Caenorhabditis elegans: one gene and its partner. The protein of the gene in region 2 interacts with the protein of the main gene of each other region in a pairwise test. Each region holds a gene or a part of one and is shown on either strand. Other genes may lie near its edges.

The links.
Region 1: the proteins of klf-3 (region 2) and Y51H4A.8 interact in a two-hybrid assay, tested with the Caenorhabditis elegans proteins (one large-scale study listed by BioGRID).

The regions. Positions count from the first base shown.
Region 1 is NC_003282.8:16,575,181-16,581,460, reverse strand, and holds the start of Y51H4A.8 (DUF4136 domain-containing protein), read left to right. Parts: upstream 1-2,911; 5' UTR 2,912-2,945; coding exon 2,946-3,155; intron 3,156-3,251; exon of another isoform or gene 3,252-3,272; intron 3,273-3,458; exon of another isoform or gene 3,459-3,480; intron 3,481-3,703; exon of another isoform or gene 3,704-3,727; intron 3,728-3,950; exon of another isoform or gene 3,951-3,972; intron 3,973-4,073; exon of another isoform or gene 4,074-4,155; intron 4,156-5,688; exon of another isoform or gene 5,689-5,709; intron 5,710-5,832; exon of another isoform or gene 5,833-5,853; intron 5,854-5,962; coding exon 5,963-6,280.
Region 2 is NC_003280.10:6,615,507-6,621,786, reverse strand, and holds the start of klf-3 (Kruppel-like factor 3), read right to left. Parts: upstream 3,570-6,280; 5' UTR 3,510-3,569; coding exon 3,468-3,509; intron 2,403-3,467; coding exon of another isoform or gene 2,379-2,402; coding exon 2,312-2,378; intron 2,268-2,311; coding exon 1,826-2,267; intron 1,277-1,825; exon of another isoform or gene 1,142-1,276; intron 356-1,141; coding exon 188-355; intron 142-187; coding exon 25-141; intron 1-24.

The DNA.
Region 1 (6,280 bases), on a different chromosome or scaffold from region 2:
ATTGGTAGCGCTACATCTGTTTAAAGTGCCTAAAACGCTTGCAAAATTGACTTTTTTATGTTTAAGCAGTGCTAACTTTTAAACCATGAGAGATATACAAAAGTAATGTATTACAACATTAATGTACACATCATCAGCTACATTTTATCAGTATGTTACATTGTTGTCCCTCCTCACGTTTCTGAGTTACAGTTGATAGAAGTGAGCTTGGTCCAATTTTCAAAAAACCCTAATTTTCACGTTTTCGCCTGTAACTCCGAAATCAGGCGTCTAATTAAAAACTTCAAATTAAAAATTAAGTGATTTTAAATTATAATCGGGTTCACAGTTGACCGTTTTGTCATATCTCATATGTGGGCAAAGATATGAATTGTCAAAGAAAAGTTGCGGAAATTTTAGAAAATTTTCAAAAAAAAACATCGAAAAAAAATCCAACAGTTTTTTTTACAAGATAACCTCTAACTGTTTTTTGATTATGATAGCCTAATTAGTAATCAAAATATTAAATGTGTTTTTAAACGCTCATGTTCTTTTCGGAAAGAGTAAAACAGTTTTTTGCAATATTTTTCTATATTTTTTCGATCATGCATTTTTTGTTTGTTGACCGTTCATATCTTTGCCCACATATGATATGACAAAACGGTCAACTGTGTACCTGATTATAATTTAAAATCACTTTATTTTTAATTTGAAGTTTTTTAATCAGGCACCTGATTTCGGAGTTACAGGCGAAAACGTGAAAAATTAGGGTTTTTTGAAAATTGGACCAAGCTCATTTCTATCGACTGTAACTCAGAAACGTGAGGAGGGACAACAATGTAACATACTGATAAAATGTAGCTGATGATGTGTACATTAATGCTGTGATACATTACTTTTGTATATCTCTCATGGTTTAAAAGTTAGCACCGCTCAAACATGAAAAAGTCAATTTTGCAAGCGTTTTCGACACTTCCAACAGATGTAGCGCTACCAATAAGCTATGCCTGGTTCTGAAATGTTTTAGTTTTGTTTAACTAACTGTCTTATACCTCTACGCATACAAAGTTTTTGATTTCACAAAGAAATGAAAAAATTCGAAAAAAAATTTTTTTTTCGTCATCATAGTTCTGAGTTTTAAATAATCTGGAAGTTGACCGATATGGCTGATATTGTTGGGCTTGTTATTACTAACAGTCTTCTATACAACCGCAAAATATTATCCAAGAAAAAACCAAAACTAGAAAAAAACGAAAAAACTTATTGAACGACCTAATAATCAAATTTGGGCAAAATCTCTTAAGTTGGAGTAGTGACCGCACCGAACATTAACCTATTGCGTTAAATCGATTTATCAGTTATTTGAAATTGTTTTAAATAAAAAATATTTTTAAATCGTGTCCATTCAGATTATTTGCAGTTGCCTATATCAGCATAGTGACACAGTCAGAAATTTTTTGTGTTAACACAATGTAGCGAGAATGGTTGTAAGGCAAATATAATCATGATTTGTACTATGGAATACAACAATTCTACAGAAAAATTGTACTTATAAAAATTATGTTTCACAATATTTATATTGCGTCACTGATATTTTAGTTATTATTTCAGAACTTTTTCATGAGAAAGATCTTAAAATTTCAATGATATGATTCAAAACAATTAATTTAAAACATTAAATTCAAAAAAAGTAAAACTATTCAAAACTTTTTTTGAAAATGTTGTTTATTTTATTTCAAAAATGGCAACCATTCTGTTAGGCACTTATTTGGAAATCGTTGAAAAAAAAATGTTTTCCTCCGAATTTTATGTTTCAAACGGTAATATTCAATTATTTTAGGGATAGTTTTCTTTAAAAGTGGCAAAAACTTAATAATTGGCGCTTTTCGGAAAAAAAAAATTTTCTAAAATTTTTATTGTTTCAACATGCTTTTATTATACTCTTTGTAAATTGGGTTTTATTCATACGCTCAAATTGTATTTTGGTAATTAAAAAAATTGAAACGTAACCAGGAAATTAATATCTGCCAGAAGTAGTCAAATGTAAGCAAAACCTCTTAAGTTGGAATAGTGACTATGGTGGTTTTTACAGAAAACTGTCTTGTTATAGGAAAAAAATCTAATAGTAACACAATGGTTTAAAAGAAAGCATCTACATTTTTTTAAAGGTAAAACTTTTTGAAAAAAAATTGGATTTTTAAAAATTCACTGTAAAAAGTGACTATTACTCAAATTTTGCCACTCATAATTTTATAAGTCGATCAAAAAAAAACTTCCTACAATTTTTTTTGCCAAAACTTTGACTGGAAGTTGTAAAAAATTTGAGTTTTTTGGAGTGTTTTTTTAAATGATATCCCCACTGGCGCTACTCCTCCATCAATGACTTTAAAAATTGATAAGAAATCGAAAAATCTGAATTTCGAAATTTACCGTTTCACCGCGTGCGTATAAAACTTTTCATCACATTTTGATCTATTTCTGATAGTGATCCGCTTTCAAACGTGTAAAACAATTTAAAATTAAACCAGAAGCTTCCGATAAAAGTATAATCAATAATAGGCTCCACCTATTTTTGGATTTTCATTGTATTTAAAGTTTTCAAATCGAATCCAGGAACAAAATCTTCAAAATTTGCAACAAAAAAAAAATTCAGTTTCAGCCTTCAAACAAATTTTAGTAACGGCTGTTTGACAATTTTTCGATCTTTGGGTTTCAAATTTTTACGAGTTCCCTTTTACCCCCGCTTAGTATGCTTTACCTATTCTTACTGTTGGCACACCCACCCACAAGAAAAAGTGTTAACAATCAGTAATAAAATGATGCCATAACTATGACAAATATAAACATTTTTGGCAAATCGAAACAAACATAAGCTATTGTGGGGCAAAGGTTAAGGAAACGGTATAAAAAAGGATTGAGGTAAGGTTTAAACTTCACTTTTAACTTTTGTGATTTGAACCTTCAAAATGCTTAAAATTCTACTGCTCCTCTGCTTTTTCATCTCCACAGCCGGAGCCTGTGCTCCGGGTACCGGAACGCTGGGCTCCAAGGGAACATTCAGCTATGAAATGAACCCTCCTGCTCTATACACCTATGATTCTCTAGCAGAATTTGAAAACGGACAGTTTGATCAAGCCTATGCTCAGCGAGTTGTGGTGTCGGATGTGCAGAGTGCGGTGAGTTAAATGCAATTTTAAATAAAAATCCCAATACAGAAAAAATTTCTACTGTTTCACAAAATTTTTATGAACAGCTACAGTTTTCTTTGGAGTTCGTATAATTGCATTTATTAAAAGTCCAATTATTAAATGTCCAACTATGGTGGTGGATAATTTTGCCAAATTTATAAAAGAATGTGAAATGGCAACACATCGCATAATGTTTAACGGTTGCATTATTATTTGAAAAAAATTTGAAATTCTCAGAAGCTTTATAAATTCTAGTCTAGTTTTGATGAAAAGCCATATATTTTCTTAATTTCCATCAAGCCAGCCTATTCAATAAAAAGCGATTCATAAAAAGTTTAATGAAATACTTTTGAAACATTAAAAATTTTATTGAAATTTTCTTTTTTTTTTCGAAAAGTGCCAATTACTACGTTTTTGCCACTTTTAAAGAAAAGTATAGCATATTCCAATCTCTACAATAATTGAAAAAAAACCCATAAGTGGGCCATAAAATTCGGAGGCAATTTTTTTTTTGACGAAAACAATAATAATAACTTTTTAGGCACCGTAGAGTTGAAACACTCCCTAGTAAGATAACAGTGAGCTAATAAGAATATTATAAAACATACTTTTTTACAAATAAAATTTTTACGTTTTATTGAAAATTTATTTTGTAGAAACATGTTATATTCTATAGTACAAATGCATGATTATATTACAATCTTTCTATTTTCATTGTGTTAACACAAAAAATTCTCACTGTTTCACTATACTGATATAGCCAATTGCAAATAATCGAAATAATTCTGTTCTCTCCTAGAAACTGATAAATCACTCAAAAGCGACATACTAGGTGCGCGGTCAATGAGTTAAAAAATTTATTTAAAAGCCTGTAGATTTAATTCGGAATATTTTCCAAAAAGTATTCGCTGCGAGCAGGATTTGAACCTACGCGGGCAATGCCCATTGGATTTCAAGTCCAACTCCTTAACCGCTCGGACATCGCAGCCCGGTTTCGGAGAGCTGGTTGGGGTGTTTTCGTTACCGCAAATGGCTGTGTTGTTCGCACATTTTGAGCGGAGAAATGACTGAAAAAAGTATGCTGAAAGAGAAGAGCCTAGAGATGTGTCTACCTACCACTAAATCTATTTTGTTATCACTTTTGAATTATTTTTTTTAGAGATAACAATCTGAAACATTAATTTTTGAAATAAACCACAAAGTATCAGGTTGTCCCATAAGTTTTTGTACTTTTTTTCAAATATTTTTCCAAAACTTCTAGAAAGTTTTAAAATTTTTTCATCGTAGGTCGTGTCAAGGTCGGGTCGTCCCCTTCCAGAAAAGATTCATTTCATCCATTTCTACTTTGCCACGATGACAATCATCAAACTTGAACGTCGAGACGTTAGATTGCTTCTTCTTTATGAATTTCGTCTTGGTCATTCAGCAATGAAAGCGGAACGAAACATATGCGGTGCGATGGGTGAGGGAGCACTCTCTTATAATACAGCAAAGAGTTGGTTTCAAAAGTTCAAGAACGGCGACTTCAGTCTCGAAGAAATAGAACGTTCTGGGCGACCGGTAGAGTTAAATGAAGAAGACCTAGTGAAGCTGGTGGAGGAAGAGCCTCGTCTTAGTCTTCGTGAAATGGAAGAGAAGCTTGAGTGTTGTCATAGCACAATTGCACGTCACTTGGGTCGCCTTGGTTTTACTTCAAAACTTGGAATTTGGGTGCCTCATGAACTTTCGGCATCACAGAAGCTCACTCGGGTCAACGTTTGTACTCAACTTCTAACTTTTCGTCGAAAGTTCGATTGGCTGAACAATCTGGTTACTGGAGATGAGAAGTGGGTGCTCTATGTTAACCATTCCAGAAAACGTCAATGGCTTCCGATCGGTGAGAAAGGAATACCGACGCCAAAGCCTGATCTTCACCCAAAAAAGATAATGATCTGTGTCTGGTGGGGTGTTCAAGGACCCGTGCACTGGGAATTGTTGCCAACTAATAAAACTATCACTGCTGATTACTATTGTGCCCAATTGGACCGAGTTGCAGAAAAGACCAACGGAAAATATGAAAAACTATATTTTCTTCACGATAATGCTATGCCTCATGTCGCCAAGAAGACTTTCCAAAAGCTGCAAGATCTTGGTTGGACTGTTTTACCGCATCCACCATATTCTCCAGATCTTGCACCAACCGACTACCATTTGTTCTTGTCTCTCAGTGACTACATGCGCGACAAGCAATTCGACGACGAAGAGCATCTCAAAACTGAACTCTCCACTTTCTTCTCATCGCGTTCGCCGGATTTCTTCTCCCGTGGCATCATGATGTTACCTAGTAAATGGCAACAAGTGGTGGACACTAATGGTGAATACTTGTGTGAATAGTACTACTTGTCGCTTGAGAGAAATAAATTTTTTTCAAAAAAAAAAATAGTACAAAAACTTATGGGACAACCTGATATTTATACCCATTATCAATAAAAAAAAACTGTTTCAAATATTTCATTTTTCAGGTTGTATAAAATTAATTCGTTTGTCGATCTTTTGAATTCTTTTTTAAAGATAAATAAGTCTGAAACATTAAGTTTCAAAATAAGCCACAAAGTATTTATACCCATTATCAAAAAAAAACTGTTTCAAATATTTCATTTACCAGATTATATTTCGGAGAGCTTGCTAAAATTTGTCCATACGAACCAAAAAAAATTATCTGCTCAAAACTTGTATAATAATGGAACCAAGTAGAGCGCTAAAACACTAAAAACACTATACAATACCAAAAAAGTTTAAAAATTCAAAAAATTCAGATCAACGACGTATTGCAAGCCAACAGTATCCCCCTAAACGACATAAACCCACCAGTCATCACATTCTCGCCTCCAAACGTCACACTTACTACAGTAACCGAGTGCACCGCCGACACCGCGGGTTACGGTGTTCTACAACAATCCACAGTCTACTATAAGTGTGCAGCGAAGGCTGGAACCGATGGAAAATACGCGAAAAGTCCGTTTGTTGTCCCTTTGACCGTTCAAGTGACCGCGATTTCTGCAATTTATGAGAGCCAGTGGAAGATGTTGGCTTCTCAGATGGCGGACAAGTTGACGACGAAGAGAGGAGCACAG
Region 2 (6,280 bases):
TGAAGAATCTATCAATCAATTTACCTTGTCAATTCATCACTTCGTGCGAACTTCCAAGAACAGTTTTGCCATTTGCACACAAAAGGTTTCTCACCAGAGTGAGTCCGCTCATGAGCTTTCAAATGTGAAGACTTAGAGTATCTATAAATTATTGATTTCATGACCAAAATACAGTAATCCTACTTACTTTTTAAAGCATCCAGGATACGTGCATGCATGAACAACAAACTTCTTGTCAGTTGGATTCCTTTTGTTTGATTCAATACGTGACTTCCGCTGCAGTGGCGATCGCTCGCTTGATGTAGTGGAAGAGGGTGAAGAGCGAGTTGAATCGAGTTCGCCGTTGTGCGGTAGTCTGTAATCGAATTCATTGATGATCAGAGATGATTGAAGAAGATGAAAAAAGAAGCGTGGTGATGACAAGCAGCAATGCTGTGTTGTTTGTTGCGCGGGGGTGATAAATAATGCAACATGAAGTGTGACCCTGAGATGGTAGATCTACAAAATTCTTCATTTTTTGATTACATTCCGAACTGGGAGGTAGAGTTTCATATGCAAACTTGAATAAATGTACATAGTTCTTAAAATTTAGAAAAAGTTATCAGAAGGGTACCGTATTTTCTCTTTTTTTACAATATACAACTTTTTACAATATAAAAAATCATGAAATCCCTTGAAGTATATAATTTGTTAGAACTTCTAAGTATTTTTTATTCAACAATAAACGTTGTTTTCTCTCATCATCATTGACTTCCCACCAAAAAGATAACTTGATTGATTATCTGTGATTGTATTCTTTTGTGGAACGCGCGAAACAAGCGGCCCCCGCTAAGCTGATCGTTGACCGTGTCGAAAGCAGCGCCACCGCAGTCATTTTCCGATCGAAAAGAAGTATTATGTCAACAAACATGGAAACTGTTAGCAGGCGCCGCGGGGGTGGCAGAAATAGAGTGTTTAGGGGTGACTAATCTTGGTAAAATAACTGGATTTCCAATTTATTCGGAACATTTTTGAGAAAGTTGAGCAATTTAACAATTTACTCAAGAAATGACGTGGCAGGATATATCAATCCCTTTACGTTTGACTAAACTAAACACTTGTCCAAAATATCTGATTTCAATTGAATTTCCTTGTTGCTTTTTGTTAGAACTAGACGGTCGGTGCGGTAATTTGCCGCAAAAGAAAGTGGTACTAGACCACCTACTGTGAGCCTGTGACGCCCGCGCACGCATCCAAATGCACTAATTTGCATGACAAGGTAACTGTTTTTAGAACTTTTGGCAAAGCCTTCCTTCAACTATTCATCTTTTCATATTGCCGCCAAGATTGAAGTGAAAGCAAAAAGACCGAATAATTCCGAAATTGCTTTTGATTTATTTGGTTGTAAACAGCTAATCGATTTGGAATGTTTGACGCACGCATATCCCTTAGCCTTTTTGTTTCCCGGTTTTTTGTATTGTTTCGCGCATTTTATCAAAACGGATATCTCGTCCGGTGGGCAACTTATGAAACACTTATCACAATAGTTTTCCTAATGGAAGAAGGAAAAAACAAGAATACGGTAGACAAGATATGACGTTATGGCAGAAATTATAACATAAACAGAACTGATAGAAAAATAAATTAATTGAGAGAATGAATTTTTTTGCATGAATCTTTGAACGAAATGGATTCTAAAGAAGTTTATGATTGTAATAGCTAAAGATTAGGGATTGATCAGAAAATGGAATATAATTCAATAATTTTTCAGTGTGTGCATTGCGATCGAGTGTTATTTATTTGGACTAACGCTTTTGAACCAAAATTCTATTTTTAAGAAACTTACGGATGCATGGGAATCTCCATTTTGATGGCAGGTAACTGTGATGCAAGTGGACCAAACGAATTTTCTGGACTTGATGGTGGTGTTTCGATTTTATGAGTTGGTGGAGTCATCGAATGAAGTGTCACTGCAGAAACAGTTGTCACTTCCGTATAATATGGTGGATTTCTATCTGAGGTCGTTGGTACATCATAAGGGTTACAAATGATGTGTGGAGGATAGTAGACCTCTGGATACGTTTCATAACTTGGAGGTGCATGAGGTGGGCTGTAGCTCGGAACTTGTTGAACTGGAGGTGGATGCGGGGAGAATGGAGCTTGGAAATGGGGTGTTGGTGGAAGAAGCATCCTTGGAGGCTCTCGGCCAGGTACATGAATAGGTGCAAATTGCTTTGCTCCTGGATTTGGTGTTATGAGAGGAGAGAATGCGAGGCGTCGTTCAATCGCTAAAAATTCTTCAAATTTCAAAAGAAATTATCGACAAATTTACCTTCAATTGCCGGAACATTTTTTCTGCTCGAGTCCCTTTCAATGAATTCGTAGACATCAGCCCAGTCCTGAAAAATGTTTGGCGATGTCATTTTTGCTTTGGACGAAAGGGGGAGAGAAAAAATTCAAATTGCGGGAGAGGAATCTCAAAAATGTTAAAATCACTTTTGAAAGGTTCCTTTTTCATTCTGCGTCTATTTATTATGTTCTTGTCTGTCTATGTCTCTTAATTTTTCCATTTATTCTTCTAAAAAAACCAGTGCCATTAATTAATACACCGTCTTCACTCTCTTTCGGTATCCATCCTCTCTCGACAAGACCATCGAAATGTCTGTTACTCTCTGGATATTGCGCACTGTCTTCCAATGATTATCACCATTGATTAGCCTTCTTTTTGACAGGGTGGAAACCCCAACAAAAATGGAAGCAGACAACACGCAACATACACAAAGTGATATTTCGATGATGATGATGATGAGGAGAAAAAGTCTTCGGACGGACGGACGGAGGAAAAAAAGAAAAGAAAAAGTGTTCTGAATAGGACCTAGTCGAATGAGTCAGAGCCCCATCTATTGTACGTAATTTATATGCGTGTAAGGGTATACCTATGGGCTAAAAAAAAGAAAACAATATTTTTGTATGTTTGTATGTGTAACTATATTTTCGTAATAAATAATTGTACGTCAGAAACGGAAATGAAAATGATGATAATTACAATAATTAGGTAAATATTTATCCGATAATTGGAAAAAGAGATTATGTTCAGAAACACAGCACTCACGAATTTTTAGTGTCCTCTCATATAAACAGATTGTGAAGAAAAGGATATTTTAAAAATTTCGAAAAAAAATGCATTGGTAAAATGCTTTAAATTTTTTTATAAGGTTTTCCCTTTTCGCAATTTTCAAACCAGCATTTCGAAAATTTTCAAACCAGCATTCGAAAAAATTGTACTATAATATTTTCGGATAAAGAGAATGAGAATACAGAATTCAAAAAAAAATATGGGAGACCATGCTGAATGAAAAACTATTTTCGAGTTTCTAAACCAAAGAAAAATTGAGATGAAGCAATGTGACGAAATCAAGGAAATCAATTAGGAGTCGATCAGAACTTCATTTTACTAATTAAATTTTTTTTGCAGAAAAAACACTCACTTCTTCATATCTTGGAGGTGCACTTTGTTCCATTTTCAGCATTTCTTCGAATGGATCGACTCCAGATTGATACTGTATAATGAAATCAAACCAGTGTGTCAGCTGCAAAAAATTGAGCAATTTGGCTGTTCATATTTCAATGAGCAAAGTGAAAATAGTGTAGGAGAAAGAAAAGAAAAGCAAGAAAAACTGTGTTTGTGTGTGTTTACTCTATTGAAAAGAAATGATTGAACAGTGCAAGAGAAAATGCAAGAGAGGAGAAAACGAGAGGCTTAAAGGAAATATAGGTTAGCAGCATCAGCAGAGTGCACTTTCACAGGTAAAAATCATGATCCAGAAGGTCCAAGTGTCTTCAAAAGACATTTGGAGGCGTGGGACGACTGCAGCCAACACTCCGACCGACTGCAACCCAATCGCTGATCAAACTCCGCCCATTTATTTCTGGGGGCAGTCGTTGAGGGAAGTGGAGGAGAACGATGAGAGAAAATGGTTTATGATCGTCTGTTTTTGGGTACTTTTTAATTTGATATTATTTTTATCAAGTTGGAAAAAAGTGAGGAGGTTCTTAATTGTATCAAGTTAAAAAGATCAATTTGGAATAGTTTTAAACAGGACCCCTCGAGGGGATCTATGCATGCTCTTAAGGCAGTAGAAATTTGGTATGATTGAAAGCTACAAGAAAAACCTTTTTTGTTTTATGCACACAGATTTCTACCCACAGACAAAAAAGTTCAGTAAAAGTGCCTAGATTAGCTGCAAATGTACAGTATTACTTCACCCCGGTGTCGATCAAAACAATAAATCTTGCAACTGGTGATGTTTTATCACAACCAATTGAGAAAGACCTATTGAACAAAATGATGAGGGTTTTCAATTATGTCTTGTAACTTTTTGGTGGTCACAGAGTTTTGCAAAATTATTTTCTGAGGCAAATGCTGATATGAAATCAACAAAGGCAGAAGGGTTGACGAACAGTAATTCAATTGTGGAATATTGAGCTCACAAAACATAATAGTTTGAATTTAATTTTTTGGGTCAAACTTAAAAAATTCCGAGACTGACCAGCAAGTAGCAACCACAAAAAATGTAACCATATCATCTTTATTAGTTTAAGTTAACATGTACCATGAAATATAACAAAATGTTTAGGAAATCTAAGTGTGAAAAGCGAAGATAGAGGCACTAGCTTCAAGGTATGAATATATCCGATAATATTGTTCCTAACACCATATCTTTTCAATACTTCCGTTTTTAGAATTAAAACGATTTTTGACCATTATCATCTTGTAAAAAGTGGCAAAATCACTTCGAATCAGTCAAGTGATTACCTCAAAAGATTTCGCTTTCCGCCGATGCCGACAACTAGTGGTGCCCTCCGATGCCAATGAATTAGTGGCAGAATCGGTTCAAAATGGAAACGAAGCGAGCGAGACCACCACCATATTCTCTGAATTAAAAACGACACAAAAAAGTGATGGTATGATTTAGGAGGGGGAGAGAGGAGAAAAAGTCATGTTCAATCATATCATATAATCAATTACGACTTCTTCTCCTTTTTGTTGCTTCGTCTCTTCGACACGTCCACTCAAAAGAAGTATTGCTGAATTTTTGGACACATACAAAAAACAAGAATCCATTGGCATGAGAGTATTCGAAGAATGACACCAACTTTTTTTGCATTTTTCTAAATGAATTTCTCAAAGAATTCTCAGAGAATTAGGTGCCGCTTTAACTACTGATTATGCTATTACAACAAAAAAAAAGATGCAACAACAATGAGTGCTTTCTGATGATCATAGGTCAATTTTTACACAGAGGTACATATATTTCTACAGTAACCCATTCTTGAAGAACATGATTTTTTGGAATTTCCTAATTGCTGCAAATAATGAAACAAATTGCATACTCGTGCGTAACTACCAAATCAGATTACAATTCAAAGCTGATAAAAAGTGAATGTTCGGAAGTGTGCATCATTGCTCTCTTCTTGATTTTTATAATCTCCGAAGGGCAACGCCTATTATTGTCAATGATAAGACATTTATTGCCACTGTCCAGCAGAGCACAGTTTTCCCGGAATAAAAATTCCAAAAATGTGTGATTAGCAATATTCTAACCTAGCGTTAATTTTATATCGCGGTGTTTCCGGAAAAGGAGTTTTAAAAATATACAACTCCTTAAAAAAAAGTATTTCTCTACAACCTTTGACATCTACATGGCTCAGCTCGTTTTTAAAGTTATAACAAAATACAAAATTAAAAATTAAAGAAAATAGGATTTTTTTGAATCGAATTACAGATTTCAAAAAAAAATCGCGTTAAACTAGTGGAGCCTAAGAAACCAGGTTTTGTGATCAGACAATTTAGAAACCTAGGTTTTAGGTTATATGACATTAAATATTTCGAAAATCAAGATAAAAAACAAACAAAATGTCCGACAACGCAGGTGGCACTGTTCATTTAAAGAGAAAGTGCAAGAATCACGCGCGACCGCACCCAAAAACAGTCGAGTGAATCATGAAAACGGATAGGGATAAGAAAAGAAACACAGGTGATGTGGACGATCTCTGGGAGGTATCAACTAAAAATAGGAAAGGAACTGAACTGTAAAAAAATCTTTCGAAACTTAGACATCGTAGATAATTAAATTGTAAATCACAATCATCGAATTCCGGGTTATTTTGCAGGAGACTCATCACATTGGAATGAGACTGGCTATCAACAAATTTCATAAAAATATATACAAAAAGCAACTCAAAATGGCTCGTTTTGCTTCATACAAGAGTCTTCGTTTCTGTTATCACTTGTTATCGG